Linked DNA regions of Xenopus tropicalis. The protein of the gene in region 3 interacts with the protein of the main gene of each other region in a pairwise test. Links are inferred from orthologs where the notes say so. Each region holds a gene or a part of one and is shown on either strand. Other genes may lie near its edges.

Region 1 (11,216 bases), on a different chromosome or scaffold from region 3:
CCTTCAACATGCTATGCCAAGACAGAGAAGGAAATTAATATGTCTGAATCAGTCCACTCAGAACCAACCAGCAAGTCATTCTTCAGTGGGGCAGACCCAGGTACTATTAGCCCTCTTGCATGAAAACCAGCTACAAGTTTGAGGCTTAGCTCTCAGCTTTCAGTAAAAATCTTTGCAAATCATTCTTTTCACAACAGCTCACTGCAAGTCTATTAGCAAACAGGGCAGTCTAATCCATCTATTATTACTTCCCACAGAGAAATACAGGAAAACGCAGTGCCTAAAGCACACATGCAAGTCACAGGCAGAGGTCTGCCTGTCACAACTATGTCTGTTTTAGACAATGCATTTACTATAGTTCTGTGGGAAACAGTGACAAGTGGACTGGGGTTTTTTAGCCATTTTACTGACTCCCCATATGCCCCAGAATATGAGCTTCATGGAAAATACCATACGTTTCATACATGTTGATCTATTGTAATTAACTATTTCTGTAGACAATAAAATCCTATTAAATAAAATGTACTATTGGTAGCTGAAGGCTCATGACCACAGGATACTTTTTGATCCTAAAGACTATAGAACATAGTCTGCCGCTGCAATCTGGCTGAAATCAATAGTGGACAAACCATTACGTTCAATAGGCCTAAGGCAAACATTTGCGTATGTATAACTTTATATAGCGCTACTAAGATACACAGTGCTATACAACACTGTAATAAATAAATAAATATACAGGAATGAAGTGCCTTGTGGTAAGAGATTTGAACAGCATGCTTTCTCTTCCCCCGTTGTCATTGCAAATGCTATGTTTAAATAGAAAAACAAACCTGAAAATACACAGTCCAATATGGAATAAGTGCCAAGAATACTGGGATAATTTTTACAAGGGATTTGACATCTTCTACTTTATCTTCCCTAAATGGTCCACCACGCGAAGCCTTTGCAAAATCCAACCTGCTTTGTTTATGCCTTTGTTGATTATTCTGGCTGTTGAGAGATATTAAATATATATATGTTAAAATATCTAAACATGCAGTTTTATATTTTAAAAATATCCAATTTTTACCAATCTACAGAAAAGCTAAATTTATTGGGGGAAGGGTTGGAGTGCCAATGTTTTAGGCACTTTTTTCCCCAGAAAAAAATGCACTGTGGTGTCAAGTGTAAGTTGATGCTAAAGACGACTGGAAAAAAGACAACTATCTGCATAATTCTCCTTTTAAAGATCAGGTAAGGGGGGGGGGGGGATAGGGGGGTTATTTTCCTTTAAAGGAACAAAGTGGTACTCTAAGCTACAGGCAAAATATATTTTATCCTGGGGATGAGAACATCTTTGCTTTAACCAAATCACTGCAAAGTGTGGATTTTAAAATGTTTTATTCTAAACAGATCTGATGTTTAATCAGATAAGAAACTGACCAACCATTCTCCCTTTACTTATAAAAAGGACTTTAGTCATAGCTGAAACCATTATATTAATGTTCTGCAGCACTTCCTTAATTTAGCTTAGCCTCAGGCATAAAGAAGCAGACCGACCATGTGAGATACTAGGGGGAAATTTGGACGCATGCGCCACAAGCACATTGCTTATACACATGCACTGTTGTAGTAAAACTGACTTGGTTACTATACAATTATCCACATTGATGTTCTGGGGGAACCTGGAAGGGTGATTCACTTCCCTGTATTGATTTTTCAGTAATGACTACTCACATTTTTTTTTTCTGTAAAATTGAAACTTAAAAAATACAATATCCAGCTCTTACATACACGTGTCTAGTGTTTTCTCTTCTATGCTTCCGTGCGCAGCAGGAGTAGGCCAGAATCTTGACCATATCAGTGAAGGCACTGCCATCGGCTGGTTTGGTAACAAACACCGTTTTTCCACATAAAAAAACTAAAAAGGAAACACCGATACACACTGTTGGAATGATGTATCCAGTGAGGAAATCTACATTCTGCTGGACATATGCAATTCCGCCAAGAGATATAATGGCACCCAGGTTAATACTCCAGTAGAACCAGTTGAAAAATCTCCGTGTTGCTTCTGGTCCTCGGTCTTTCACCTATAGAAAAGATAACCCATCACATAAACAAACAATCAAAAAATAATCAAGGTTAAAAAAAGGGGGCTCTCCTTAAAGGAACACCAAAAAACAAGTGATAAAAATATAATGTACTGCTGACCTGCACTGCTGAAACTGCTTGCTTCAGAAACACTAATATAGTTTATAAAAATAAGCTGCTGAGTAGCCTTGGGGGTAGCTATTTAAGTTGGAAAAAGGGAGAAAAGTCACAGGTTACATAGGAGATAACAGATAAGCTCTGTAGAATACAATGATGTTTTACAGCACTTATTTGTTATCTGCTATGTAACCTATGCCATTTAGCCCTATTTCAATATATATGGCTGCCCCCATGGTTACACAGCAGCTTTGTTTAAATAAACTGTAGTAGTGTTTCTAAAGCTTTTACCAGTTCATTATATTTTAATTACTTTAATACACTTTCGTTTTTTGGTGTTACAGTTGCTTAAAACCACTGATGGACAGCGCAACCCAACAAGTTCTGCTCCAGCTGACCCCACAAAGCAAGATACGGAAGAATTTCTATAACATGCAATGCTATTATTTACTTAGGATACTTCATTTAAAAACTCCCCCCTACTTGCTCTATTTAGTCTTCTTTGTCGCCCCAGAATTTGCCATATTTCCCTATTGTGTCATCTGTTATTTGTGATGGGATGAAATAATGATATTGTGTGTTATTTTCCTCTGTAAAATGGAAATTCTGACTCAATGAAACATATTGTAATATACTAAACAAAATCATTACTGACCTAAAATAAAAATTAAGAAAAGAGACAACTAAAAATAGCATTCACAGTGAATAGCTACCCTTTCATAACTAACAGACACCAAATTAGTACAGCATCTCATGACTGAAATCCCTTAGTCACTATCATGTGCTATGGTAATACAGCAGTGTGGCTTTATCCCATACATATATCCAGGGTTCAAAAAAGTTCAGAGGGGGAACCATACATAACATGTTTCTTTCTTTTTTCCACATAAGATAAGTACAGGTAAAAAGATCCAAACAATGTCCCCTGTGGCTGTGTAATCTGCTCCAGCAGGGATGGAGATGCTGTGTGAGCAGCCTGCCTAAACATTACCCCCAGCCCATTCACTAAATGGCTTTGTGCCACAAACTGTACCACAAAGCATTCACTAAATATGTGAATGAAGGTAAGCCCAGTGAGCAGGGCCTGGTGCCATCCAGCAGCAAGGAACACTTTGGGCCTTATGTAGGACTATAGGTAGAGACTGTCCCACTCTACAGTAACTCCCCAAGACCACTGATCCAATTCCACTCAACATTTAAACTGCACTATACTGTTCCAAGAGAATAGTGGGTAGCAGGCCTGGACTGGAATTTAAAATAAGCCCTGGCATTTCAAGTACACAGAGGCCCAAACAACCCCACACCAGCCCATTACATAGCGACTGTTTATGGCATTTTACATAAGCCCTTCTGACATTTGCCACAATCCACAGATCACCAGTCTAGGCCTTCCTTGTGTTTATTGACTAGGGGGATTGCCGATGTTACTGCATAGATCAGTTTATGAAGGTCGGGTGTCAGTATTTTATTGGCCTAGAAAGGAGGCATGATATTGTATTTTTGGCTAATCTCTAAAACAGCGGTTCTCAACCTGTGGGTCGAATGACCCTTTCACAGGAGTCGCCTAAGACCATCGGAAAACACATATTTCTGATGGTGTTAGGAATAATTTTATGGTTGGGGGTAACCACAACATGAGGAACTGTATTAAAGGGTCGCATTAAGAAGGTTGAGAACCACTGCTCTAAAACACAATGCTTTATAAAAATAAAGTGCCATCCCAGCACTGCTACATTATTTGCTATCCCTTTAGGTTGTTAGGTATAATGTTTTTCTGGCCTTGAACTGCCCCCATTATTGCAATGTGGACAAATGAAATACCATTGTAGAACTGTTTATAGATCTATTAACTTTGAGGGTAGAGGTCACTTACAGCCTACTTCACTAAAGGAGTTTTTCCTTAGTTTTCACATAGACCTAAGTACTGGCTGTAAAGGAAACAACAGTCTATGAGAAAGCGGAATACGTCGGTTGTTGGCATGGAATAGTGCCTCTTGTCACAGGCAGCAGCTTAGTGCCACTTAAGGCAGAGAGCTCACCCCATCCCTTAAAATTACCTTTAGAGTTTAATAAGTATTGCTGTGGCACATTATATGCCAGGTGCCCAGTCTGGAGTGCCGGCCAGTATTGCACATGTGCATCACCTTTCTCTCCTGGCCATGAAGGAAGACATGGAGAAAGTGCCAATGCAGAATAATGTGGTGGAAGAGGTCAGAGTTGGTTGAGTGGTGTGGCCAGCTTTCTATACTTATAGGCTCATACTTTTGGCACTTGGTAAAGCAGCTCTATGCCATGAAAGGCACTGTAAGAATACCAACTTTATTTGCTCTTTAGGGCTCTGGCACACAGGGAGATTAGTCGCCCGTGACAAAACTCCCTGTTCGCGGGCGACTAAGACTCATCGCGAGTCTTTTTCGTCGATTTCGGGAAATCGCGCCGCCGCGTGTGCCATCCCGCCGGCGACTTACAAGCAGGGGAAGGCAACTCGGGGAGATTAGTCGCCCGCGAACAGGGAGTTTTGTCACGGGCGACTAATCTCCCCGTGTGCCAGAGCCCTTAGGGTGAAGACACACAGGGCTACTGGTAGCAGCTACTTTTTCACGGCTACTAAACTCCAGAAAATACCCTGCCATAGACAATTCTGAAAATTGCCTCTGCTAAAACACATGTAGAGACAGTTATCAGTTAATGATCAGCATTGTCTATTTTAGTAGCAACGACTAGTAACTGCTACTAGTAGCTCTGTGTGTCTTCACCCTAATACAGGCTGGGCTGGCAACCTGTGGATTCTGGCAAATGCCTTAGGGGCTGCTATTAGTTGCCATAGACAGTAACTTTTTTTTGGACTGGAGGGGGCTTTTTGGGCATCTGTGTACTTGAATTACTGGTGCCAGGCCTGCCGTTAAACTGTTTGAAGCAATGACTTAAGTGCTACCATCTAAAATGGCATGTACCAGCAGGCACTTTTACAAATAACCACTGTACCCTTAAGATACTTTTTATCTCCACCATTAGAATGAGATGTTAAACTAGGTCCTTTGCCTGTTAGTGCGAAACTACAGCTCTCTAAAGCTTTGTGCATGCTGGGAAATGTAGTGCAACATTAAATATAAAAAAAACAAGAACAGACAAGGCCAGAAAAGAACGTGCAAGATGGTTAATAATAAAGACTATACCTGATCAGCTCCAAACGGTGTGATATTGGCCTTCACCGAGCCCACTCCCAGCCCCACAATGATGAGCCCTAGGAAGACCGCCGGGGCGCAGTATCTCCGGCTCGGATCCAGGCAGGTATCGGGGCTGCTAGAGGTGTTGCTCCTGCTACAGTTATCTATACGAGCCCACGGAATGTCCCCACAGAAAGCAGTGCGGGTCCCCGAATAGGAGATCATAGGGAAAAGCAGCATGCCCAGCAGGTACAGCACCATGCTGCCGAGAATGATGAAGAAGCGCCCTAACAGGGCATCTGCCAGCCAGCCAGCAAAGGGCGACACCAGGTAAGTGATCCCCATAAACAGTAAGAGAGCCTGGCTGGCCTGGGTCCCTTCCCACCCGAAGATCTGCCCATTGAGGAAAAGGACGAGGTTGGAAGTGATGCCGTAGAAGGCCACCCGCTCCAAGAGCTCCGAAAGCAGCACGGCGGCGCAGGCCAGGCCCCGACCGGCGAACACGGAGCCAGGAGGGACAGGGGGCTCAGAGCGGCCGCCCAGGAGCGGGCTCCTCTCGCTGGGATCACGGCTTGCCATCTCTGCACACAGGGGCTGAGGACAGGAGAACGCTCACCACGCCCGGGGTAACATGCAGACTCAGATTAGGAGCTCTCCGGAACGGGACTCACTGGCAGAAGGACAGACCCGGTTAGGCAATGGGCAGAATACGGAAGCGATCCCGCTGATCCAAAGCTGTACGTACCTAGCCGGCCAATACTTCTTCCACTAACTCGTGACTCCTTCGGGAGCCCGCCTACTTCAGCCGGTACCGAGAGGTGATTGGTTGTCACTAAGTACAACAACTGTAACTCTGCCACCTATTGGATACACTAGCTAGCCTTCACACAGTGTCCACAACATTACAAAATAAATAGGTATACTGGGGTCAGCTGTAGTACTTGTGTGAATTGCAATTCATCCCATCCTCCCTCGCTTCGCACATTGCTGTTCTGATTACTTTAATTGTTGCAGGTCCCTGTCCCTGCTCTTTTTAGCACAGAGACCTTCAGCCGCCCCTGTGAATACAACCCTGCCTGCATTTGGGAGTGCTGTATCCACTGTCAGACTGGGATGCCAAGGGCCCACCAGAAAACCTTGGACCATGGGCCCACTCCCAAACTATTTTTCATCCACTTCTTAATAGTCTCTATATTGTCCTAGTTTTTTTTGCATCTTTGCATACTATAATCTATTCTTCTATATATTTAGTTGGTTTGGTCCCAAAAATAAGTGATGACCATGAATTAGGCCAAATGGCTAGAAGCAGGAGGGCCCACTGACACCTGGGCTCACCTGGAGTTTTCCTGGTATCTCTGTGGGCCAGTCCGACACTGGCTGTATCCATGAGAGGTGGGGAAGCATGTAAGCCCCACCACCAGGCAGAGAAGCATGACCCCCACCTAGCACCTAAATTGCGTGTCATTTAGACAGAAAGTTAAGTAGTGTTGGCACATGAAGGTGGGGTCCTGCACTTACTCCCTACCAATTCATAATATTGACATAGAACATTATTTTTCCTGCCCATATCAATAAAATACCAGCTAGGTGTTTCGGGCACTGCAAGTCCCATGTGGGGCTAGCGGAGCTGTAAATTAGCCCAATGTCATGAGGGAGATAATGATCAACCCCAGACCTTTTTGAGAGCTTAATTTATGTTATTTAGTGTAAAGAGGAAATCAGGCCTAAAAAACAAACAGGACTGGATCAATATCTCCCTCATGACATGGGGCTGGTTGACAGCTCTGGGCTAGGCCCAGGTGCAGCTACAACCCCTACCCCACCCCGTATCCAGGAGTTATACAAGTTGGAGAGCAGAGTGGTGCATCTAATTTTTTCACTATTCACAGTGACCACTTTTGATGACTCGCAAAAGATTTTGTAGGTTTTTTAAGTTGTTCTTCTTATAAACTAATAATGTGTGTTTTTATTCAGATTTCCTGCTTTGGGGTTGATTTTTCTTATAGTGGCTTCTTTATATTGCTAGGCAGCCCCATTAGTTCTGAATAAAAGGTGATTCTCGGATACCTTAAGTGTTCATCATACCTCCCAACTGTCCTGATTTTCGCGGGACAGTACCTCTTTTGACAGCTCAACCCGAAGTCCCGGATTCTTACTGAAAAGTCCCTGATTTCCCTTTGATCTCCTGCACTAAAGCTAAAAAAGATACAAATTTAATTAAAAGTACCTTTTTGGCAGAGAGCCCAGAAATCTTTACTAGCGTCACCTGCACTGAGATACAATTGTAACTAATAAGCTGAACAGGTCTCTTGAGACTTGCGGCTTAAAGGGCAATTTCACCTTTTCAGCAAAACTGTAATAACACATAAAACAGGACCCCAAAACCCCCAGAAATGTGTTCAAACTTTAAATAACCTGACAAATGTAGTCAAATGGGAGTGGTATTTAGGGGGGTGTGGTCACAAAAACGGGCGTGGCCAAAAATTTGGGTGCGCCATTTGTTTTTGTCCCTGTTTCTGTGTTCAAAATGTTGGGAGGTATGGTTCATACTCATACTGCCATATTTTTGTTACATCTAAGCACAGTGCATGACTTCATATATTCATGAATGATAGGATGTGTGTCAGATACTGGTACTTTGCTACAACCTGGCCATTATACATGTGATTTTTTTCATGTTTGTTTTGTGAATATGACACTTTGCATAGTTCCCACTTTGAAATTACATTTTAATGTCTATAGGCTCATAGCATTAATTTACCTAGTACAGAATTACTGGCAGCATCATATAGCCCAGTGACCTGCTGCTGAAAATGGCACAATGTCACACCATTACCACTCCAAACTACATGTGATTGTTCTAAATGACTCGGCCCGAACACACAAGCGCTTTGTCCTACATTCCCCTGCAGTGGAGTTCTCCTGTTCCATTGCAGGGGAGCACAAGGCCAAACGCAATCCATTATTTTTTACGGGGCACAAGGTGAAATTCCCGTATGGACGAGCCCTTAAATAGCATCTGCCTGTTACTGCTCACATGAGCAGCCAAACTGCAGGTTTGATTGGGTGTAGCAAGTCAAAGTGGTGGTAGCAGTGCTGATAGCCAGGACAGATCGTTGTATTTAAATTTACAACCGATATGTGAACATTCATCGGAAGAAAACTAAAATCTGAAAGTGTATGGCTATCTTAACAAGACCTATTCACCTGTTAATCTCTCTTTTGGGGTGCCCCAAGGGTCAGTCGTAGGGGCAGATTTATCAAAACACGAGTTCAAATCCCGAATGGGAAAAATTCGGATTGGAAACGAAAATTTCTGAAGATCGCAAATATTACGAAAATGCTTACGAAAAAATCGTATTAGTCAGGATAATATCGTATTGTGGTGAATTAGCAAGGTGAATGCAATTCACGCGCCGCATAAGCAAACTACTAACACCGGCACATGTTATACCAGCTAACAATTAAGCAAAAGCGGAATAGCGTTCAGGGTCACACCGAGCAGTTCTCTGATGCCGAAGTAGTAAATGCGAACGTTACTTCTATATGCACTATGCTGAGCATTTGAGATAAATTAAGTCCCAATGTGATCACATCGAGCGGTTCTCTGATGTCGAAGTAGTAAATGCGAACGTTACTTCTATATGTATTATGTTGAGCATTTTATACAAATTAAGTTCCAATGTGATTACTGATCGTGTGTAACCAATGTGAACATTGACAAGCCGTAAGCAATTACAATTTGTATCCTCTGCCCGCTCTGCAGTAAGGACAGAGACAAAATCATTGATTAATGGCTATTAATAGTGCTAGTATAACTAGCGATTTTGACTTTTGAAGGAAAGTGCGGAAGCTGTAATGATTGGATAAGCTTACCCTTTCTCTGATAGGTAAAATAGATTACCGAAGTTATTATTAATTTATGGCTAAATGTATGCCATAAAGGATAGCATAATTAGTGATTGTTATCCCGCTGAGCCAAACAACAGGCCCTAATTAACAATTGTTCTGCCTCGAGCAAAGAAAAAAAGGGGACTTGCAAATATTATGTTATAAATAATTCTGTGCCAATTTGATATTGGACATTAACCACAAGGGTTTTATACGTTTCTGGACTATATTAAGACCAGATATACATGATCCTGGAAATCGAATACTGGTGAACTGTGGGTCAACCTTAGCAATATTCGGTGAAGCACTAGGAATCAGTAGAGTGAATTAACAGTTAGGAGATTAAATCTGTGCATGAGCACCATAACGATACTTACCCGTGTTTAAAGTGTAATATCCACTTGTTTCTCTGTAGAAAACAAATATCGATGAAATAAAGACATGATACACGAATGGTGAATAAAAGTTTATTATACGGATGGTGTAATTATTTTCAAATCTCCCATGTAAGAGTTTTTAGTACTTACCTGGATGAATGAATTACGATTTCTCTTGCAAGTCACACTGTGCAGACCATTTATATTGTTGATACAAATGAAACTAATCACAACAGAAAAAGATACTTTATAAGTAACAATATCCAGGAGGGTAAGAGCTAGAATTGAAACAGTTTCAAGGTGTGATTTCGAACATTTTAAACTTTTCTTCACTTTCCTATCCATTTTAAGTATTTAATTAAAATTAAAAGTAAAAGTTATATTTTAATAATAAGAGGTGTGCCAGTCTTGTCCTTTTCGTGCCTATAACACGTTATATTAGACGTGCAGACTTTGCCAGTTTAAGGGCATCTCTGCAATGTGTCAACTGGGAAAGGCTTTTCATGGGGTTAGACACAGAAGGAAAATGGAACATCTTTAAAACATTGCTTTGCAGGTATACACAACAGTATATTCCCCTTGTAAGCAAGGAGAGGCATCGCAAAGCAAAACCCTTACGGCTGAATAAAAGAGTTAGGGTCGAGGTTGGTAATAAAAAACGTGCTTTTAAAGCATTCAAGTTAGCTGGGACAGCGGAAACTTTCATCAGGTACAAGGAAGCAAATAAAGCATGCAAAAAAGCTATCAGGCAAGCTAAAATAGAGATGGAAAGGGATATTGCAGCTAGGAGTAAAAAGAATCCAAAATTATTTTTTAATTATGTGAATAGTAAAAAAATGAAGCAAGAAGGGGTGGGAACTTTATTATCACGGGGAGGTAAGTTGGTTGATGAGAACGGAGAAAAAGCTGAAATCTTGAACTCTTATTTTTCATCTGTCTATACATCTGAGGAGCCAGATAATGAAGGCTTCCCTTTTAATATACCCAGTGCTAGTAATTTAGCTACTGGCGCATGGGTCACTCAGGAGGAAATTCAAAAGAGACTTGAACATGTAAAGGTAAACAAAGGTCCAGGACCGGATGGGATTCATCCCAGGGTATTAAATGAGCTGAGCGCTGTGATTGCCAAGCCTCTTCACATAATTTTTCAGGATTCATTGAGGTTTGGCATGGTGCCGAGAGACTGGCGGATTGCTAATGTGGTGCCGTTATTTAAAAAGGGATCTCGTTCTCAGCCTGAAAACTATAGGCCTGTTAGTCTGACATCAGTAGTAGGAAAGCTTCTGGAAGGGGTAATAAGGGATAGGATAGTTGAATACATTGCAGTTCACAATACTATTAGTTTGTGCCAGCATGGTTTTATGCGTAACAGATCTTGCCAGACTAATTTAGTTGCCTTTTATGAGGAGGTGAGCAGGAACCTTGATGCTGGAATGGCAGTTGATGTCATCTACTTAGATTTTGCTAAAGCGTTTGATACAGTACCGCACAGAAGGTTAATGATCAAATTGAGGAATATTGGCCTAGAACATAATATTTGTAATTGGATAGAAAACTGGCTGAAGGATAGAGTACAAAGAGTGGTGGTAAATGG
Region 2 (11,244 bases), on a different chromosome or scaffold from region 3:
ATAGCTCTTGCCTTGCTTAATAGTTGGTTTAGGGGGGTTATGGCCAGTGATTAGGATGTTGTGGCTAGCCTGTTTGAGAGGACTGCAGCTTAGACAATCCTAAAACTGCTAGCTGAGCCAAAATATCTATAAGTTGGGGGAAAGAGCAAAACAAGCATATTAATTAAAGCAAGTAAATATACAGTACTTTGTGAAATTTCTTGAAAAAGGCAACTTGAGCATTAATCAAGCAAGAATGAAATAGGAGTGTAAGGAAATGAGTTGTTTGTTGTAATATTTTCATGTGCAGCAAATGAATACATTTAGATTTAAGTTTCAAAAGGAAAGTGGATGCTGAATGCTGCATCTGTGAGCATAAGAAGATCAAAATGTCCTGTGGGCATATTCAGTGAATCTTTAAGGGGCACTGCCCAAGTTGGTGGCTGATACTGCACTCCAGTTGCTCTTTCTGTAGGGTTGCCATCTGGCCGGTGTTTGACTGGCCTAGCCGGTAAACCCAAAAGGCCACTATTATGCACATCTTCCTATCTTCCGGTCGACAGTAGTAATAGCCAAGTACCCTGTTTTCCATCATTTTGGATTACAAAATGTATTTGTAATCCCTTTAACTGAAAAAGCCTGTTAAGGAGCCTGGATTTTTTGCAGCCAATTTATAGAAGATATAGGGATTGCGTAGTGGAAAGCAATTGGGGCCTAACAAGGCATGGCCAAAAAATTCCTTTTTCCAACAGATTGATGTTACTGTAGTAAAGCACTGTCTGCTGCTCTAATCTAAGCTTCTGCCTGGCTCATTGTTGTTAATAGTCCAATAGAGATGAAGCAAGGAGCTTTGACACCCAAGGCAGAACTGGACCCAAACCATTGCTCCCACCTTGGTTAGTGGCAGGTGCAGACCAGCTGACATGGGAGCAGCGAAGAGAGTCTGATGCCCCACAGAGAGAGTTAGTCGCCTGCGTAATATCTCGGCTATTGCGGTTGACTAGCCATTCTGAAATGCCTTTCCAGGGGCCTTTGCATTGCTTCAGTTTTCAGAAGTTGCGCGAAGTTACCTACAGGAGGAAACTTTGTGCAACATTGGAAAACCAAAGTGATGTGGGGGCTAACCACTCCAAACTGCCTTTCCACCAGCAACAATATGGGTCACTGGTGACAAGGCTATTCAGAGCAGTTAGTTGCCCATGATAGCAGATATCTCGGGCAACTAACACCCTTCGTGGGACATCAGTCTAAAAGTTGATTAAATAATGAGCTGCTAAGATAGCAGATGACTCTACTGCCTATCCCTTGTTTAGGTCTGGTTTTGGCTGGGGATAGGCCATGCTTTGCTAATGTGGCACTTGCTGTTAGGCTGTTGATATAGGCTGTTCGGCCTTGGGGGCAAATGATCGCATCAGCACCATTCGGCTAACACCTGCGTGGCCAAATCAAGCAAAGTTTTTTTTAGTTTGGTGACTGTGTCCAAACAGATCTTTGAATGTATAGCAAGTTTATGTTTTCCTCCCTTTTATCTCATCTAACAGGGCTATTAGGCTGGCCATATGCCAACAATTCACTCTTTTGCCAAGGACGTTGTGGCAGCTTGCCTGGTTGGTTGAAGACCTTTACTGGCATATCTTTGGATTTTAACCAATATGGACAGGTCCTTTTTGCATAACAAACAGAACTCAAAGTGGCCTGTGTAATTTGTTTGCTTGCATGTGAGCAAATCAGAATGGGAGACCCAACTATTTGCCCTTTCAGCCTCAAGTTTCTATAGTGTTCGGGTGCTTCTTCGCCCCCCTGAAATACACTTTCCACAGCCTTAGGCACCGCAGCCTCAGGGAAAATGGTTTGGTCCGGTCAGCTTTAGCCTGAAATCTATGAAAGTTGGGTTAAGGTGGCCATACACAGGAAGATTTGAGTCCTTCAGACCAATTTTGAATCAGCTTATCTGGCAGTGTATGGGCCCTAGGGCCAAACGATCGAATTAGCCATTATATGCTAGTTCTCAATACCCCAGCAATCCCTCTCATAAGATATCCCTCTGTATCAGTGCTCACATCCTTTCTTGATGAAATGCAAGCATTTCAGATATTTCCTCTGGTGCCTATTTTTAAGTGCGCCCAGGTCAGAGCTTTATTTCCCCCTCCTCTCTGCGCGCAGACACAAACTCACTCATTAGTTTCAGTTCTTCATTATAAAAGAAACGGATACAGACGCATTTACACCAAGGCTGACTTAATGAAACCTTGTGGCCCCGAGCCAACAAGCCAAACGAACAAATTAAATAAAAGCAGGGGTGGAAAAATTGAATTAGGCATTTAACAAATTCAGCTGCCCAACATGTTTTGCCTCAGCGTTATCCCACGCTGCACTGCTTCTCCCAGTATGCTCCCACAGCCGATGTTAGGCCGCAAGTTAAGGATATAGTTGTGGTGCTTTATACCATTGTCAATAATGGTGCTGCCAAACTATCCAACTATCTGCCATTGCAGCTAAATATATCCTATTGTAATCCTTTTCTAAATGATGGATCTTGCAAGACAAACAAATTGTGCCAAAACAATAAAAACAAGACTTTAAAAAAAAAAAAAAAAAAAAAAAGTTATTCCTGCTGCCCCATAAGGCATTCATATTCAAGTAAAAAAGAATTCTTACTTCATATCCCAAGCCAGTGATCATCTTTGGTGAAAAAACTAACCTGGAGTATCTTCTATGGGCATGCCACACTGCCAACCTGACTCCCGGGCACTCTCTTCACTGTAGCCTGAAACCTACTAGATGGCGGGGTGTTCAGGTGTACAAATTGCACCTAGATGAGGCCAAAGGAAGGTGGTGGGCCTGGACCTCTCCTGGCCCAGCCCCACCAGCAATGCCCTAGCCATCCCAGCCCTTTCTGGTGGCTGTTGGGTTTGCATCACCATTTCTGCCCCCCAGGCCCAGACTGGCAAATCCCAGAGGGGCTGCAGTAAGAGGCCATAGACAGTCACTATTTATTGGGCTTGTGGGGGCTGTTTGGGCCTCTGTGTACTTTAAATGCCAGGGCCTATTTTGAATCCCAGTCTGGACTTGTGTATAGGCCAGTGAATGAGCTAATAGGGGTGGAGTTGTAATATTATAGGGTAGAGTTGTGATGTGATATGGAGGAGCATAAATGGACAAAGTGGGTCAAATTTAATGAGTAGGAAGGGATTGAGAGCATAGAAGGGGAGGGCAAAGGGGTTATTGGGACAGGCCAGGGGCAGAACAACTATGGAAAACAAATGTATTGGATCTTGACTGCCTGCCCCCTTCCCTTGCAGCACAGGTGCCAGTTGCAGAACTAAATGGGTATATACCCCCTCAGGTCTACTGTTGGGTTTAAACGCTAGTTTCTGAAAGGGCACTGGGGGGATTTTTGTAGAGCATTTTTTTATATATATACATTGGCCCAGATACCAGTGAACTTGACTTTTCCTATCCTATCCTATGTAGACCTACACATGCATCTGATAAAATAACGTTGATGAACCACTATGAGCCCTTAAGAAACACATAACAAGTCGCCCTTAAAGAGGAAATTTTCTTAATAAAGGTAGGCAGAAATTCCAGCACAAGTACACTGTACGCCGCCCCTCAATTTAAAGGGAAATGCTGCAGTGTGCCTAAAGGAAATGGCAGGAGTTTACAGCTAGGGAAATATGTGCCTGGCCCATCTGGCAGGAAATGTACCAGAGACAAGAGACTTAAAATAAAAATCAGCCAAGCGATTTATGCTGATGTATTCCACACGTCTCCCCCAGCTCCGACACACACCCCGCACCCCTCACACTTTTATTTTAGCCTCACATACCCACTTCCCTAACAAGCATGCTACTGTTACCCCCACCCTGCCCTTTATAGTTTCCCTTCCAATTTCCCAACTGTACTTTCCATCTGTTTGGGGTTTAACCCTTTAGCAAAAGACAGAGGTCCTTTTTTTCCCCTAATTTAAACATTGCAAAAGGGAAAGCCCCTCTCTCCCGCTCCTGAACATGGGATTGTGTAAATATTAATCACACAGGCCTCTCGCTGTCAGAGGATGCTGGGAGCTGTAGTAGTGTGGCTCAAGGGCCGTGGGTAGATTGAGGGGGTTCATCAACATAAATCAATAATCGAAGACAATATATAAATAATCTAAATTCTTAATTCTCATTTTTTAAATATTTACATTTATAGTTATGTAATTCTAAAGGTGGCCATACACGCACCGATAATATCGTACGAAACCTCGTTTCGTACGATATTCGGTGCGTGTATGGTATGTCGGCGAGTCAACCGATATCGCAGGAAGCTGCTGATATTGGCCGACTCGCCGATCGGACCAGTTTGAAAATTTTGATCGGGCGCCATAGAAGGCGCCTGACCAAAATCTCCCTTCAGCGCTGAATTGGCAGAAGGAGGTAGAAATCCTATTGTTTCTACCTCCTTACCTGTCGATTCAGCCCTGAATGGTGTGCGGCGGATCTGACGATGTTTCGTGCGACCACGTGTATGGCCAGCCAAGTTCCAGCTGCTTACTGGTTGCTAAGGATTAATTGCCTTAGCAACCAAGAAGCCATCAGAAAGGAAGAGGGGAAGGTCCATAGGAACAGACCAAAATAAAAAGTGAGGTAATTACAAATACACATACAACTAATCCCTCACACTTTTTTTGTTGTTGCTGGTCTCAGACGACCAGATAGCATGTTTTGTAACAGCACAAACGTCCTTATCACCTTCCTTATTCTATATAGAGATATTTAGATGGAACTTTATCAGTTTCAACTATTTAACATGAGTTTTCTGTGGAGAAATAACAAGGAATGCTGGGAAATGGCGTTGAAAACACAGTGAGTAGTAGTGCAAGGGACACAAGCGCCTCAGGAGGATACCCCAACCCTGATAGCCATTGGCTTGTGAGGAAGCCCCCCTTCCTTAAAAGGAGGGGGGGGGGGGCAGGGGAGGGGAGTGGGCGTGGCACAGACACTGTATGGGGAGGCGGCTTGGCTGTGTCTGCACCTTGTCTCTCCGCTCTCGCATCTCTGATCCGCTTTACAGCTAATAAGGGACAGGGGAACGCTCAGCGCAGCCGCCATGGGGGTAGAAGGATGCACCAAATGCATTAAATATCTGCTCTTTGTCTTCAACTTCATCTTCTGGGTGAGTGTGCCTTATCCATTGGGTATTTGTAAGGGTACAAACGAGGGGGGCACAGGGTTCCACTGACCCCCCCCCCCCCATCGCCATTCCTACAGATCCTGAGATAGCGCTTAGGGGGGTGAGGGTTGGCTGGAACCTGGGAATCGTAGTGTTTGTGAGTTGGGAGGGGGGTGATGGGGCGGAATTATATCAGGGTGGGGAATGGATGAACCCTGTAGCACAGTGCGTTCCAGCCAGGGAAAGGGTCGCTCGGTGCCAGCCCTGCTGTTTCCCATGGATTTCAGTGTGGCTGTAATGGGAGGGGGGGGATCATTCTGTGCCCCCTCCTCTGTCCTACTCAGTAACCAACAACAGCCCCTCTGCAGGGTCTCCAACACCACGTGGTGCAGAGGGGGAATAGTGGGGGCTGCTGAGCCCAACTGGGCAGTTTAGCCCCTCCTTACCCATAGCCCCTCATGTATCACAATAACATTGCCCTATATATATATATATATATATACACCCCTGGCACAGATAGGCATCCCCAGCCACTGGCCCCCAGCATTAACAGGCGGCAACTCTCTCCTTGTGCTTTAAATTGCACTCTAGGCGGGATGCTGGGAGTTGTATTACAGAACAGCTGCCGATTGGACAGCACTGATGTTATGTACTGGGATTAAAGACTGTGGGAAAATTGCGGGGATTGCTATTGAGCAACAGGCAGGGCGCAACTGGTTGGGAGTAGCTGCCCATTGCCTTTCCCTTATTTCTTTAAAATCTTAGGCTTTATTATAATGCTATGCTGATACAGTGGGTGCATGCTAAGCAAAACTGAGGGTGATTATCATCATGCTTATTGCATGTATGTTACACACACAGTATTCACAGACAGGGCAAAGGATTACAGTGCTGTACAATAGAGCGGCGTATATATCAAACCATAACGATTATATACAAATACTGACTGTTATAGGAAGTACAGAGGGCCCTGCTCAGTAGAGTTTCCAGTCTATAAGGTGCAGGATGTATAATTGTACAACAGTTGTGACAATGGAAATGATAATACTGCGGAAACAATTTCAGTGGGCGTGTTTACACTATACTTGTGACGTACAGCGTTGTGTTTGTGCCTGTGTTGCCCCCAAAATGCATCCATCTGTTCAAAGAATTATGTATTTATGTATATAATCACATCCACAAGCCAGTTTCTCTTTATAGTGACTTTATAGTGTTTGCTTATTGGCTGCTTTGTTATATAAAGGTATGGAAAGGTTATTTTTATTTACAGCAAAAAATCCAGCCCCCAGAACTGTATGCGTTGGAAGATACAATAGAGTGCTTTAAGTGTAGAATTTCTAGTGTCAGGAGGGATTAAAATTGATGATTCCAACATGTTTGCCATCTTTAGAATAATCTGGCCATTAGAATGGGGCCCATTGGTGTATTGGAGTCAGAGGATAAGGCATTAGGGTGAAGACAGACGGGGCAATTGGTCACCGCGATTTTTAAAATTCAATCGCAGCAACTAATTGCCACCACTAATTGCCGCAACAACACGGAGGTTGGATGACTAATTAGGATTACACTGTAATGACATCATTTGGTTAAGATGTGCTTATAAAGCATTTTTCATTGGGTTATACATTCCTTACATTGTTTATTGGCCATATGTGTTTATGTGTACATGAGTGGGCGGGTTGACTATCTGCTACCACATTGCTATGCTAGGATGTAAGGCTCCCTTCCATGCATCTGTTTTGAATTAATAGTTCATAACAGCATGAAGAATGGCAGTGTGTAGAAAATGGCACCTGGGTGTAAGTTGTCCTATAATGTCCAATCAGGAGTGGGGCCCCTAAGCTCATCTCTTAGTAGAGCAACATGAGGGAAGCTTATTAATCTCCTTAATAATAGGGAGAGATGGTGCCTATAGTAACAGTGAGATAATAGCCTCTGGGAAGGGACTTTGGCTGTGGAATAGCAGGTATAGTAGGGAGAGATGGTGCCTATAGTAGCAGTGGGGGGATAATAGGCTCTGGGAAGGGACTGGGGCTGTGGGATAGCAGGTATAGTAGGGAGAGAATTTTATTAAAATATATTTAACAAATACAATAAAACAATAATTACATTTCAATCAAGCAAAAAACAAAAACCAAAAAAACATAAATCAATATTACATCAAAAACAAAACGTACTTTCCTGCAAAGCATCTTATTTCTTACAGATCATTATAAAACACATATCAAGAGGCATCTTTATGTTTCTTTTTTTGAGAATTGTCCAAACATTTCCCAGCAGACCGTTTAACCTGTACCCGCACACCTGCCCCCTGACTCTCCATCACACTTTCCTCCTCCAACTCCCCTTCCTCCAGTGACTCCTTTTCTGCCCCCTGAGACTGAAAAGCCCCTTCCCTTTTGCTCTTCTTCCTGCTGGAGATGATATCAGATGAGAGACTTTTCCTTTTCTCCCTCTCCTCCTCCTCCTCCATTCTCTCCAACTCTACCTGTTCCTCTGCTAAATCCCCCCATGACTTCCCTCCTGGCAAAACAAACCTATTTTCAGTTGGGAGGGTAATTACACCTGGGCACTGAGCCTCCTTAGCTTTATTTGATTTGCTGCCCACCACTATCCAACCATCCCCTCCGCCTCCCTCCTCTTGGGCTGCCTGTACCGCTGCCTGTGCCTTTGCCTGTTTGTTCTCCCCCTCTTTCCCTCTCACCTCTGTTGGGCGCCCCCTGTCTGTCTCTCTTGCCCCACCTGCCCTCTCCTCCCCCCTTCCCTCAGTCTGGGGCAAGTTCTCCCCTGGCATTGGGGTACTCATTACTTTTTCCAGATTGGGACAAGCCTTCCTAATGTTGCGCCAGGCGTCGGGGCAGGCCCTATAAGCATGGCCGGATTGCATACACAGGTTACACTTTATTGCTTTGACACACTCCTTGCTTGGGTGCCCAGTCTCCCCACACAAAGCACATTTCTGTATGTTGCACTTTACAGCATAATGTCTGTTGGACCCACATTTATAGCATAGCCTGGGCTGGCCCACATAGAAACAGACACCCCTTGCTTTCCCAATGAAAAAGGAATTTGGGAGATGTTTCTGAACATTCTGATCCACATGCAATTTCACTTGGACTTTATACCCCCCTACCCAGAATCCCTCCTCATCAAACACCGGCTCTAGGGGGGATAGGACAGTGCACTGGCGCCGGAGCCATATGAGGATGTCCTGCTCATGCACTGTCTCTCTCTTCATGATAATGGTGACCAGTTTGGTTTCGGGTTTGGACACAGGGATTACCCTAAACCCCTCCCATTCCTTGGCCTCTTTACTCAGATGGTACCGCCTCCAGAACTCCTCTAACCCTTGGGATAGCTTATAGCTTAAATCAAACTCTGTGTCTGTGACACTCAGCAAGGCATAAACGTCCTGTGGGGTAAAACCCAGCAACTGTTTAATAATGTTTCTGCCCACAAACCTGCGCCCCGGGAAATCCTCCCTCTCTTTCTCCCACTTAATTTTCACAACATTTTTCCTCTTATCAAACTCATCATCAAACTCCTCATCCTGCTCACGTGCAAAGAATCTCCTTCCCTCCCAAAACACTGCCCCCCGCAGCCCCAGCAACACTCTCAGTCCCCCCATGCACATTGCTTTCCCAGCAGAATAAACGACATTTTTTCCTTCCCCTCCCCCCTCACTCACACACATTGCATTACCTGCAATCACCTGCACCTCAGCTGCACCACTCCCAGCCACTTGCACCTCAGCTGCCCCAGCACTCACTGCCCCTCCCCCCTCACTCACACACATTGCATTACCTGCAATCACCTGCACCTCAGCTGCCACCACTCTCAGCTGCTTGCCCCACACTGCCCCCAGCACTCACCCCACTAACGGCAGCTGCACACACACTATCAGTATGGGAAAGACCGTTACTATGCACAATGTTAGTAGCAACGCTACATTCAGTAAAAGTTTTTGAAACTTCAGTCTCTTTGAGCAGTTCAGCAACTTTAGCAGTCTCTCAGCAGTCACATTGCCCCTCTTTCATCTGCTCAAATCTCTGTTTGTTGTCATACAGTTCCTTCCATGGCTCTATAACAGCCAAAATGTCTTTAATGTTAATTTCAGTCTCTTCCAGCTCCTTATTGTGGAAAGCCAACTCCCTGATGTACTGAGTTCTCCTCTCTCCTCTCAGCAACTTCTGATTTTTTATCAGTCTGTCAATGTCTCTGTTTAAATTGTTTTGCTTCTCCTCCAAACACCGCAGCTCCTTCAAAGCATTAATTATTGTATCATACTGTATTACAGTCTCAGTACCTTTGTGCACTTCCCCAGCCTTCCCCAGGGGCCCGGCAGCCATTACCTGCTCACTCTCCAGGGCCACACGGCTTCCATGCACCTCACAAGCAGCAGCCATTTCCTGGTCACTCCGAGCGCTTTCTGCAACTTTTAGGGCCACACAGCTTCCATGTTCCTCACAGGCAGCAGCCATTTCCTGGTTGGTCAGAGCACTTTCTGCAACTTCCAGGGCCACATGGCTTCCAAGCTCCTCACTGCCAGCAGCCATTTTGCAGTCATCAGACTCTCCTCTCACCTCCTGGTCTGCCTCTGTTGTAGCTCCGCAGCTCCCTGCAGTTACTCCAACACCGGCGCCCAGGTCCTCAGAGTCACTCTCCATGCCGCTTTGGGAACAGGTTTTGCTTTTCTTTTCCTTCCCTTTAAGAGAGCAGGAAACATTGCCCTCTGCAGTGCGCTCCACTGTCACCACAATGTTGGACCCAGTGGCCTTCTTGCTGCTTCTCAAACGGGTTTTCACTACCCGGCTAAACGGTTTAATCGCTTTCTTCCCCATTGAGTAGGGAAAAACAGCAAAAAACAAAGAAAAAATACCCACAAAAACTAACCCCCAGACCCAGCCGGGCCTGGGAGAAAGTCACAACTCCACAGAGCACTCAGAGCACCTCCACTCAGTAGCAACAGCAATGAGCAAATGGCCTCTGGGAAGGGGGTGTGGCTGTGGGATAGCAGGTATAGTAGGGAGAGATGGTGCCTATAGTAGCAGTGGGATAATAGCCTCTGGGAAGGGACTGTGGCTGTGGGATAGCAGGTATAGTAGGGAGAGATGGTGCCTATTGTAGCAGTGGGGGGATAATAGCCTCTGGGAAGGGACTGGGGCTGTGGGATAGCAGGTATAGTAGGGAGAGATGGTGCCTATAGTAGCAGTGGGGATAATAGCCTCTGGGAAGGGACTGGGGCTGTGGGATAGCAGGTATAGTAGGGAGAGATGGTGCCTATAGTAGCAGTGGGGATAATAGCCCCTGGGAAGGGACTGTGGCTGTGGGATAGCAGGTATAGTAGGGAGAGATGGTGCCTATAGTAGCAGTGGGGGGATAATAGCCTCTGGGAAGGGACTGTGGCTGTGGAATAGCAGGTATAGTAGGGAGAGATGGTGCCTATAGTAGCAGTGGGGGGATAATAGCCTCTGGGAAGGGACTGGGGCTGTGGGATAGCAGCTATAGTAGGGAGAGACGGTGCCTATAGTAGCAGTGGGAGGATAATAGCCTCTGGGAAGGGACTGGGGCTGTGGGATAGCAGGTATAGTAGGGAGAGATGGTGCCTATAGTAGCAGTGGGGGGATAATAGCCTCTGGGAAGGGACTGGGGCTGTGGGATAGCAGGTATAGTAGGGTGAGATGGTATTGTCGACATTGTTTGTATATATAAGGGATGCTCCTGCTGAATCTGGCTGTGTGTGCAGCATTAGGACTAGGCAATGAGGTGTTACCTGTGGGAGTTCCATCCTTTGAGGCAAAGTTTCCAGTGATATGGAATATTTATTTATTTTCTTCCTGTGTGTCTATTGTGGAAAATAAACCAGCCCTTAACAAAAGCAGCAGTCTGTTATTTAGTGTTTATGAAATATTTACAATTTGGCATAGCCCCACCCTTCCTTAGCCCACCATTTTAAAGGCAAAGTAATGCCACAGTGCCTACCTTTCCAAGAAAAAATATGCAGCTATTTGTGTTTGACAGTTATATATACACGTATTTTTGTCTTTGTCTGGGCAATGTCTGTGTCAATTCAGCACTGAGTAGTAACTAAGGCTGCTGTCTTTGAGG
Region 3 (10,488 bases):
GCGCTGCGTTGCGCTTTGGTACAGAGATTACTGCTGGGGAATGAGTGATGGGAGGGCTGGGGGGGCTCATTAATAGACAGAGCGGGGGGGGGGGGGGGGCAGCGCTGAGAGATTGGGGCTGTTACTATGACTGATGTTCTTCTCTCAGTAAGTAACGAGGCGCCATTACCAGCAATGAGCCCAATGTCTCCGTGGGGCGCAGTTTGCGCAGCGAGTTTCTGCCAAGTGTCGCCGGGAACCAACAGAGCGACGCCATTGGCTCCGGGAGATAAATCCACAGGCTGTAACTGTCATTTACTCTACAATTACAGGATTTCTACTGAAACACCATCGGGCTCAGAAACTGCTGGTTCCACCGGCCCATAATAGTCTGTCTGTGGGGCCTCATCCTCTAATGTTTTATATAACCGTATCCTTACTATATCTACAGATACAGCCGGGGTTATCCCCTCACTGGCCTGATACAGTGCCCCCTATGTGCCATGTATAGGTGTAGCCGGGGTTACAGTGCCCCCTATGTGCCATGTATAGGTGTAGCCGGGGTTATGGTGCCCCCTATGTGCCATCTATGGGTGTAGCTGGGGATACGGTGCCCCCTATTAGCCATCTATAGGTGTAGCCAGGCTTACGGTGCCCCCTATTAGCCATCTATAGGTGTAGCCGGGGTTATGGTGCCCCCTATTAGCCATCTATAGGTGTAGCCGGGGTTATGGTGCCCCCTATTAGCCATCTATAGGTGTAGCCGGGGTTATGGTGCCCCCTATTTGCCATCTATAGGTGTAGCCAGGCTTACGGTGCCCCCTATTAGCCATCTATAGGTGTAGCCGGGGTTATGGTGCCCCCTATTTGCCATCTATAGGTGTAGCCAGGCTTACGGTGTCCCCTATTAGCCATCTATAGGTGTAGCCGGGGTTACGGTGCCCCCTATTTGCCATCTATAGGTGTAGCCGGGGTTATGGTGCCCCCTATTTGCCATCTATAGGTGTAGCCAGGGTTACGGTGCCCCCTATGTGCCATCTATGGGTGTAGCTGGGGATACGGTGCCCCCTATTAGCCATCTATAGGTGTAGCCGGGGTTATGGTGCCCCCTATTTGCCATCTATAGGTGTAGCCAGGGTTATGGTGCCCCCTATTTGCCATCTATAGGTGTAGCCAGGGTTATGGTGCCCCCTATTTGCCATCTATAGGTGTAGCCAGGGTTACGGTGCCCCCTATTTGCCATCTATAGGTGTAGCCAGGGTTACGGTGCCCCCTATGTGCCATCTATGGGTGTAGCTGGGGATACGGTGCCCCCTATTAGCCATCTATAGGTGTAGCCAGGGTTACGGTGCCCCCTATTTGCCATCTATAGGTGTAGCCGGGGTTACGGTGCCCCCTATTTGCCATCTATAGGTGTAGCCAGGGTTACGGTGCCCCCTATTTGCCATCTATGGGTGTAGCCGGGGTTACGGTGCCCCCTATGTGCCATCTATAGGTGTAGCCAGGGTTAAGGTGCCCCCTATTTGCCATCTATAGGTGTAGCCAGGGTTAAGGTGCCCCCTATTTTCCATCTATGGGTGTAGCCGGGGTTACGGTGCCCCCTATGTGCCATCTATAGGTGTAGCTGGGGTTACAGTGCCCCCTATGTGCCATCTATAGGTGTAGCCCTCTGAGCCATTGTGTCGGGTTCTACTGTAGCCTGACAATACCGCTCAGGAGCAACCCCCTCCCTAGGAACATATTCTACCCCCGGGGCATTACTTCCTCCTGACAGCTCCGGATGTTGGGGCTCATTTGAGCAAACGTAGGAGCCTGATGGCCGTGTGTATTGTGTCCCTAGAGCTCCCAGCATGCTCGCTGCCGTACGCCTGTGACTCCTCCCTCACCGTCTCTCTCTCTCTCCCCAGGTGTGCCGGTGCTGTTTGTCGTCCCCTGGGCCATAGTCAAGTACCTGTATGAAGACAATGGGTTTGTTCCTGTTTGGTCTTTTCCTATGAGCAGATACAGCATGTTCCCTTATGTGTCTGAAAGGGTTAATACCTTCATTCACCCCCCTCTTTAGGTGCCCCCTGTAGTTACCCGGATGTAGAAAAGTGTTGGTGTTTTGGTTTTTATGTCCCAGCAGTAATAACTCTCTAATAAGCTGGTCAGCCTTGTGCCTTTATATGGGGGGCACAGAACCCCTCAGTGACTGCTAATATCCTTATCATTTACAGTAGGGGGTACATTATCCCTTATAATACATGAGTGATACTCAGAGTTCCCTGTATAACTCAGCCTGCAGCCTTGTGCCTTTATATGGGGGGCACAGAACCCCTCAGTGACTGCTAATATCCTTATCATTTACAGTAGGGGGTACATTATCCCTTATAATACATGAGTGATACTCAGAGTTCCCTGTATAACTCAGCCTGCAGCCTTGTGCCTTTATATGGGGGGCACAGAACCCCTCAGTGACTGCTAATATCCTTATCATTTACAGTAGGGGGTACATTATCCCTTATAATACATGAGTGATACTCAGAGTTCCCTGTATAACTCAGCCTGCAGCCTTGGTGCCTTTATATGGGGGGCACAGAACCCCTCAGTGACTGCTAATATCCTTATCATTTACAGTAGGGGGTACAGTATCCCTTATAATACATGAGTGATACTCAGAGTTCCCTGTATAACTCAGCCTGCAGCCTTGTGCCTTTATATGGGGGCACAGAACCCCTCAGTGACTGCTAATATCCTTATCATTTACAGTAGGGGGTACATTATCCCTTATAATACATGAGTGATACTCAGAGTTCCCTGTATAACTCAGCCTGCAGCCTTGTGCCTTTATATGGGGGGCACAGAACCCCTCAGTGACTGCTAATATCCTTATCATTTACAGTAGGGGGTACATTATCCCTTATAATACATGAGTGATACTCAGAGTTCCCTGTATAACTCAGCCTGCAGCCTTGTGCCTTTATATGGGGGGCACAGAACCCCTCAGTGACTGCTAATATCCTTATCATTTACAGTAGGGGGTACAGTATCCCTTATAATACATGAGTGATACTCAGAGTTCCCTGTATAACTCAGCCTGCAGCCTTGTGCCTTTATATGGGGGGCACAGAACCCCTCAGTGACTGCTAATATCCTTATCATTTACAGTAGGGGGTACATTATCCCTTATAATACATGAGTGATACTCAGAGTTCCCTGTATAAAGGGGTGTGGCTTACTAAGGATTAGGGTGTGGCCTAATGTGGCTGCTATATGCTGAGCCCCCCGTGGCCCTGGATTCTGAGAGGCTATTGGTTCTGCTCAGTATTTGCACCCTGTGGGACCCGAGGGGGGGAATTTATATAAATACAATTTGCATGATGTTATTGGCCCCTCCCCCCGCGTACATAAACACAATAAGGGCCTCATTAACGCTACGGCGAGATCTGTGAGTGCGCATAATTATCCCCTGACATCTCGGCGCCTCAATGCTCATTATCGTTAGGAGAGAACAAGTTCCCATTCGCTAAAGCGTGAGGCCGCCGCCCCAATACTCGGTTATTATGCGCCTAATTGGTCAACTAATCACTTAATTAGCCATTAGCGTGCGTTTGTGGTGCTCGTTTGCATAATGAAGTGTATGAATATTGACACAGGTAATTATGGGCTAATGTACTCATTCTGAGAGATTGCGTGTAATTAAAGGCAAAGTTAACCCTGCGCAGGGACGGCTCGGGGGCATCGTATAACGAGCGGCGGAGACTGACAGCTTCCTGCGCGGGATGCACGGATTAAATACGGTTTAATAAGAATGCGCTTAATAAATGATGATAATAAATTGTATCACCGGGTTCGTTAGGCGCCACGGCAACCATCCCTCGGGCTCAGAACCGCCCGCCCCCCCCCCCTGCACTCACTCACTAACTTATACTTTATTACTTCTGTTTAGGCCCTCCTCCATTCATATTCCTGTCTCTCTTTCAAACCATTGCCTGGTTGTTAGGTTAAACTGGACCCTAGCAACCAGATAGCTGCTGAAATTCCAAACTGGAGAACAAAAAGCTCAATAATTCAAAAACGGCAAATGAAGACCAATTTCAAATTGTCTCAGAACAGCATTCACTCCGTTATACTAAAGGTTCATTTAAAGGGGAACTACCCCTTTAATATAGCCCCCCCCCTTTTGTGGAAACAGAATTCTGTGCCCCCAGTGCACGGGACCCAGGGGTAGAATCTCATTTCCTTTGTTTTATTGGGAACCCATAATAATGCCAGTAGCACCCACTGCTCTGCCGCTGGCACCCTGCCACCTCCGCTTGCCCCTCCCCTTCCCAATGTTCTTACTGTGCAGCGACTGGGGGTGCTGGGGGATGCGGCTGCGCTTGTCAGATAACGAGGCGCAGGGATGGGATATTATTTGTGCTGTAATTAAGTCGCCCAGGCGCTGGCCCATTACTCACATTACTGGAACAGAACCGGCACTGACCCAATGCAGCAGCGGCAACCGGTACAGAGACGTAATAACATAACTGCCCGGCCAATGGGATCAGGGCACAGGGATTTGCACTGATCTACTCCCTGCACTGCCCTATGGGGCAAATACACAGAGACAGGGAGTGAGAGTAATGCCCCGGGCTGTACAGAGACAGGCGGGGAGTGAGAGTAATGCCCCGGGCTGTACAGAGACAGGCGGGGAGTGAGAGTAATGCCCCGGGCTGTACAGAGACAGACAGACAAGGAGTGAGAGTAATGCCCCGGGCTGTACAGAGACAGACAGACAGGGAGTGAGAGTAATGCCCCGGGCTGTACAGAGACAGACGGGGAGTGAGAGTAATGCCCCGGGCTGTACAGAGACAGACAGACAGGGAGTGAGAGTAATGCCCCGGGCTGTACAGAGACAGACGGGGAGTGAGAGTAATGCCCCGGGCTGTACAGAGACAGACGGGGAGTGAGAGTAATGCCCCGGGCTGTACAGAGACAGACGGGGAGTGAGAGTAATGCCCCGGGCTGTACAGAGACAGACGGGGAGTGAGAGTAATGCCCCGGGCTGTACAGAGACAGACGGGGAGTGAGAGTAATGCCCCGGGCTGTACAGAGACAGACGGGGAGTGAGAGTAATGCCCCGGGCTGTACAGAGACAGACGGGGAGTGAGAGTAATGCCCCGGGCTGTACAGAGACAGACGGGGAGTGAGAGTAATGCCCCGGGCTGTACAGAGACAGACGGGGAGTGAGAGTAATGCCCGGGCTGTACAGAGACAGACGGGGAGTGAGAGTAATGCCCGGGCTGTACAGAGACAGACGGGGAGTGAGAGTAATGCCCCGGGCTGTACAGAGACAGACGGGGAGTGAGAGTAATGCCCCGGGCTGTACAGAGACAGACGGGGAGTGAGAGTAATGCACAGAGACAGACAGTCAGGGAGTGAGGAATATATTGTGCCTTTATTCCCCCCCCCCCTATGACTTGGTGTGACCCAGAATGACCCATTCCCTCTCCCCCTAGCTGCTGGACACGGAATTACAATATGAATTTCTGGCTGATCATCCGGCTCCCAATCCTTATGGCCATCGGGGTAAGTTTGCTGCTTCCCAATCAATTACCCCCCTCCATCTCATCCCTCTCCCCAAGCCTGGGGGCTGCACGGCGACACCTGCTTATATGGGGCATGGAGGGGTGGGTATAGTAACTCGCACAGTGAGCTTGCACTCTATCAGCAGGTATCACTATCACTGGGCCCAGAGCCACGTTAGTCAGTCCCCAAGGTGCCAACCCCTGAGAGCTGCCCAGCAATCCTATTGGCTAATGCAAAGGAACAGTTCCCCTTTAATAGAGCTGAGAGACCCCGAGGGGGGAATATAAACTCGTTTTTTTTTCCTTTCAGGTGAATTTCGTGATCTTCATCCGAGTGATTTGCATCATCATCTCCAAGCTGCAGGCCAACCTCATGTGCAGAACCGACACCAAGTGCAGGTCAGAACCTGGCGCCTTATTGGCTGCTGCACCTTCTCTTCTACAGGCAGGAAGTGTATCTGTTATATGGGTGGGGGCTGCCATTTTGGTTTCCTTCTATCCTAGCCAGGGATTTAGGCTAGTCATGTGACCTTGCCCCTCCCAGTGCTTTAAAGTTTGGTGCCAGAACCGTCCCACGTTTACTGGTACTGGGGCAGTTGTAGAAATGACACTTTGGTTTCTCTGCCCCAATTGCCCCTATAAAGCTTGGGAGAAGCTCTCACTATTGGCGCCTGTCTCTGCCAATCTGATCACTTGTCTCATTTTTGTTGCCCTGTCCTGCTGGGTACTGACCCAACCCAGACACTGAGACTGGGTACTGAGCCCTCCATGGTGTTTGGGTCATTTTGCCTAACAAACAGCACTTTCTTTTGCTGCCCCTCCCTGGTGATGTCATGGACTGCCAGAAAGCGAGGCTGAACAGTTGCTAGACAGACAGTCCAAGTGTGATATGGAGATGTCTATGGCAGGAGAATGCAGTAAAGTGAGACCTAAGTGCTGCGCCCACAGACAAGCCATAGGGATTAAGCTAATGTTAAATGAAGGGTAGAAGTGAAGGCAGGTAAAGTGATTTATTGGGGTGAAGGAAAAGTCGGGGACCTTGTTGGTGCCTGGGGGGCCCTTGATATAAATTTCCTACTAATTTAACCCATTGGTCCCTATGGGACTATCAGTGCCCCAGTTCTACGGGGAAGAACCACTGGTCACATGGGGGTGTATAAATAATGTGGGGGGCACCATGCAACCCCCAGGGGCTCCCCAATCACATTGGGGTTACACAGGCCTTCTAAATTCTGATATTACAACATCCAAGTGTCTCCTGCCCCTCAGGCTGCTGTTAAAATCCAAGAGTGCATTATTGGGGCGCCCAATTAAGCGCAAATGGGGGGGGGGGGCAAGAAAAAGTGAATTGAGTGCAATGATTTTGGTTACACAAACAGTTGCACCTGTATCCCCCCCATCAGAGAGGGTGCTGGGAGTTCCCTGGGGGGAACAGGTGGAAATGGTGACAGGGACACACGCTAATTATTATTTAAGAACAACAGAGGGCGCTGTGTGCAGGGGAGTATCATGAACAGAACCGGTTCCGCTCACACACGGAGCCATAGAGAGCGCTTATTGGCTAGTAGCGCCGCTGCTGCCCTCCCACACACCTTCCCGCCTTTCCCATGAGCGCGCCCCCCGCCGCTTTCTACCTCAGAACTTGCAATAAAGCGAATCCGTTCCCGGCCCCCCAATATAAACCCTCAGTGGGACCAACGGGCAATGAAGTGTTTCATTTCTAAATTCACCTATATATGATCTTTAATTACGTTACAGACTGACCAATTCCAAACAGCTTTGCAGTTGGTCTTCATTTTTTTATAGTTTTAAAATGATTTGCCTTCCTCTGCCCAAACCCTATTGCTCTGTGAGGCTCCAGTTTTATTGTTACTGTTTATTCCTTATATTTCTATTCAGCCCCTCCCCTATTCATATTCCAGTCTCTCATTCAAACTACTGCCTGGTTGCTAAGGTAAATTGAACCCTGGCAACCAGATAGCTGCGAAAATTGGAGAGTTTTTGAACAAAAACTAAATTAAAAAAAAGCAAATAAAAAGAGAAGACCAATTGCAAATTACTCTCTACATCGTACTAAAACTACTGCCTGGTTTCCAAGGTAATTTGAACCCTGGCAACCAGATTGCTGCGGAAATTGGAGAGTTTCTGAACAAAAACTAAATAAAAAAAAAGCAAATAAAAAGAGAAGACCAATTGCAAATTACTCTCTACATCGTACTAAAACGACTGACTGGTTTCCAAGGTAATTTGAACCCTGGCAACCAGATAGCTGCAGAAATTGGAGAGTTTCTGAACTAAAAAAACTAAATTAGTAAAAAAAAACCACAAATAAAAAGAGAAGACCAATTGCAAATTACTCTCTACATCGTACTAAAACTACTGCCTGGTTTCCAAGGTAATTTGAACCCTGGCAACCAGATTGCTGCGGAAATTGGAGAGTTTATGAACTAAAACTAAATTAATAAAAAGAAAACCACAAATAAAACGAGAAGACCAATTGCAAATTACTCTCTACATCGTACTAAGAGTTAACTGAAAGGTGAACTACAACTTTAACCCTGTGTGAGTGGCACCTTACATAGCGGGGGCCACTGGGCCCTCAGGTTACTGAATCACACCTCGCGGATCCCCAGTTGATTTGATTCCAATTTGCTCTAATTCGCCCCGGATCCTGGCGCCGGAGGATAAAATGCAGTTTAGAGGGTTTAGAATCAATGCGAGGGTTAACTTTCCCTTTATCTGTAAAGATCTAAATATCCAAAAAGTCACCTGTATCCAAACTGCAATTTAGTGTCAACAAAATCCAAGAGTTCTACTTGCCCTTTATTGCAGATAATTAGCGCATCGTCCCCGTCACGGAAACGGTTTCTGAGCAGATAAAACATTGGGAGAATGATTAGCGGGAAGGGGGGGAGTCGGGAACCAATCCCGGGAGGGGGAGAAGCAACTCAAATGGAGGAAAATTTGATTTTTAAAGATTTAGAAAAAAATAACAGAGAACATTCTTAGAAATAAGTGAAAAAAAGGACAAAGGCGCTAAATGAGCGGATCGGTAATAATAACGATATCACAACGCCGCCAGCGGGTAAGGGGAGGGGCACGGTGGCCATGACGACAGATAAATACACAGAGGGACAAATAACCCAATTAGTGTTTTTCAGAAAAAAATATTAAATTCAGGCTGAGGCGCTGACAGACACAGACAGACAGACAGACACACACAGACAGACAGACACACACAGACAGACACACACAGACAGACACACACAGACAGACAGACAGACACAGACAGACACACACAGACAGACACACACAGACAGACACAGACACACAGACAGACACACAGACAGACAGACACAGACAGACAGACACAGACAGACAGACAGACACACACAGACAGACAGACACAGACAGACAGACACACACAGACAGACACAGACAGACAGACAGACACAGACAGACAGACAGACAGACACAGACAGACACACACAGACAGACACACACAGACAGACAGACAGACACAGACAGACACACACAGACAGACACAGACACACAGACAGACACACAGACAGACAGACACAGACAGACAGACACAGACAGACAGACACACACAGACAGACAGACACAGACAGACAGACACAGACAGACAGACACAGACAGACAGACACACACACAGACAGACACACACAGACAGACACACACAGACAGACACAGACACACACACACAGACAGACACACACAGACAGACACACACAGACACACACACACAGACAGACACAGACAGACAGACACAGACAGACAGACACAGACAGACAGACAGACACAGACAGACACACACACACAGACAGACACACAGACAGAGACAGACACACACAGACAGACAGACACACACAGACAGACAGACACACACACACAGACAGACAGACACACACAGACAGACAGACAGACACAGACAGACAGACACAGACAGACAGACAGACACACACAGACAGACACACACAGACAGACAGACACAGACAGACAGACAGACACAGACAGACAGACACACACACACAGACAGACACAGACAGACACACACAGACAGACACAGACAGACAGACACAGACAGACAGACACAGACAGACAGACACAGACAGACAGACACACACACACAGACAGACACACACAGACAGACAGACACAGACAGACAGACACACACAGACAGACACACAGACAGAGACAGACACACACAGACAGACAGACACAGACAGACAGACACAGACAGACAGACAGACACAGACAGACAGACACACACAGACAGACACAGACAGACAGACACAGACAGACACACAGAGACACACAGACAGACAGACACACAGAGACACACAGACAGACAGACACAGACAGACACACAGAGACACACAGACAGACAGACACACACAGACAGACACACACAGACAGACACACAGAGACACACAGACAGACACACAGACACAGACAGACAGAGGGTTTGGAGGGAAGCGCAGAAATCTGAGGGAATGAATCTCAGGGATGTGATTGGCCGGAGGCGGATGGATATCTGTATCCCCAGATCTGACACAAAAGAAACAATTGGATTGGATCCCGGGCCGAGTGTAATTACAGATAAGCTTCTCCCGCAGATAAACACCGTATTTATTAACCTTCCCCCGTTCCATCCCTGCCCCGCAGCCGCCGCTCCATCAGCACTAAGTGACCGGCGTAATGGCCCCCGGGGGGAGCGGCGCTCTGGGTGCAATTAATGCGCCATTTGTATTCCAGCAGCCGCCACTCACTCAGCAATGAATCCTGGGAGCCGGCAGTTACTGCCCAATTAGCTTCTTAGTGAGACTCTGGGGCGCGGGGAGTCGGAACAGCAACGTCAGCTAAACTATCCCTGCACTTATATGGGAATATACAGCTTTATACTGCTACTGTCTGCCCCACACAGCTTCCCCATTCT

The links. The genes of interacting proteins can lie anywhere in the genome.
Region 1: the proteins of glp1r (region 3) and slc15a4 interact in a protein complementation assay, tested with the Homo sapiens proteins (2 studies listed by BioGRID). The link is inferred for Xenopus tropicalis from reciprocal best matches to the Homo sapiens genes GLP1R and SLC15A4.
Region 2: the proteins of glp1r (region 3) and cd81 interact in a protein complementation assay, tested with the Homo sapiens proteins (2 studies listed by BioGRID). The link is inferred for Xenopus tropicalis from reciprocal best matches to the Homo sapiens genes GLP1R and CD81.

Annotation. Positions count from the first base shown.
Region 1 is NC_030677.2:158,918,917-158,930,132, reverse strand, and holds the start of slc15a4 (solute carrier family 15 member 4), read right to left. Parts: upstream 6,238-11,216; 5' UTR 5,934-6,237; coding exon 5,364-5,933; intron 2,070-5,363; coding exon 1,774-2,069; intron 991-1,773; coding exon 831-990; intron 1-830. UniProt on the Homo sapiens protein: Proton-coupled amino-acid transporter that mediates the transmembrane transport of L-histidine and some di- and tripeptides from inside the lysosome to the cytosol, and plays a key role in innate immune response.
Region 2 is NC_030680.2:22,303,714-22,314,957, forward strand, and holds the start of cd81 (CD81 antigen), read left to right. Parts: upstream 1-5,007; 5' UTR 5,008-5,073; coding exon 5,074-5,139; intron 5,140-11,244. UniProt on the Homo sapiens protein: Structural component of specialized membrane microdomains known as tetraspanin-enriched microdomains (TERMs), which act as platforms for receptor clustering and signaling.
Region 3 is NC_030681.2:3,034,209-3,044,696, reverse strand, and holds part of glp1r (glucagon-like peptide 1 receptor), read left to right. Parts: intron 1-1,886; coding exon 1,887-1,947; intron 1,948-5,459; coding exon 5,460-5,529; intron 5,530-5,838; coding exon 5,839-5,927; intron 5,928-10,488.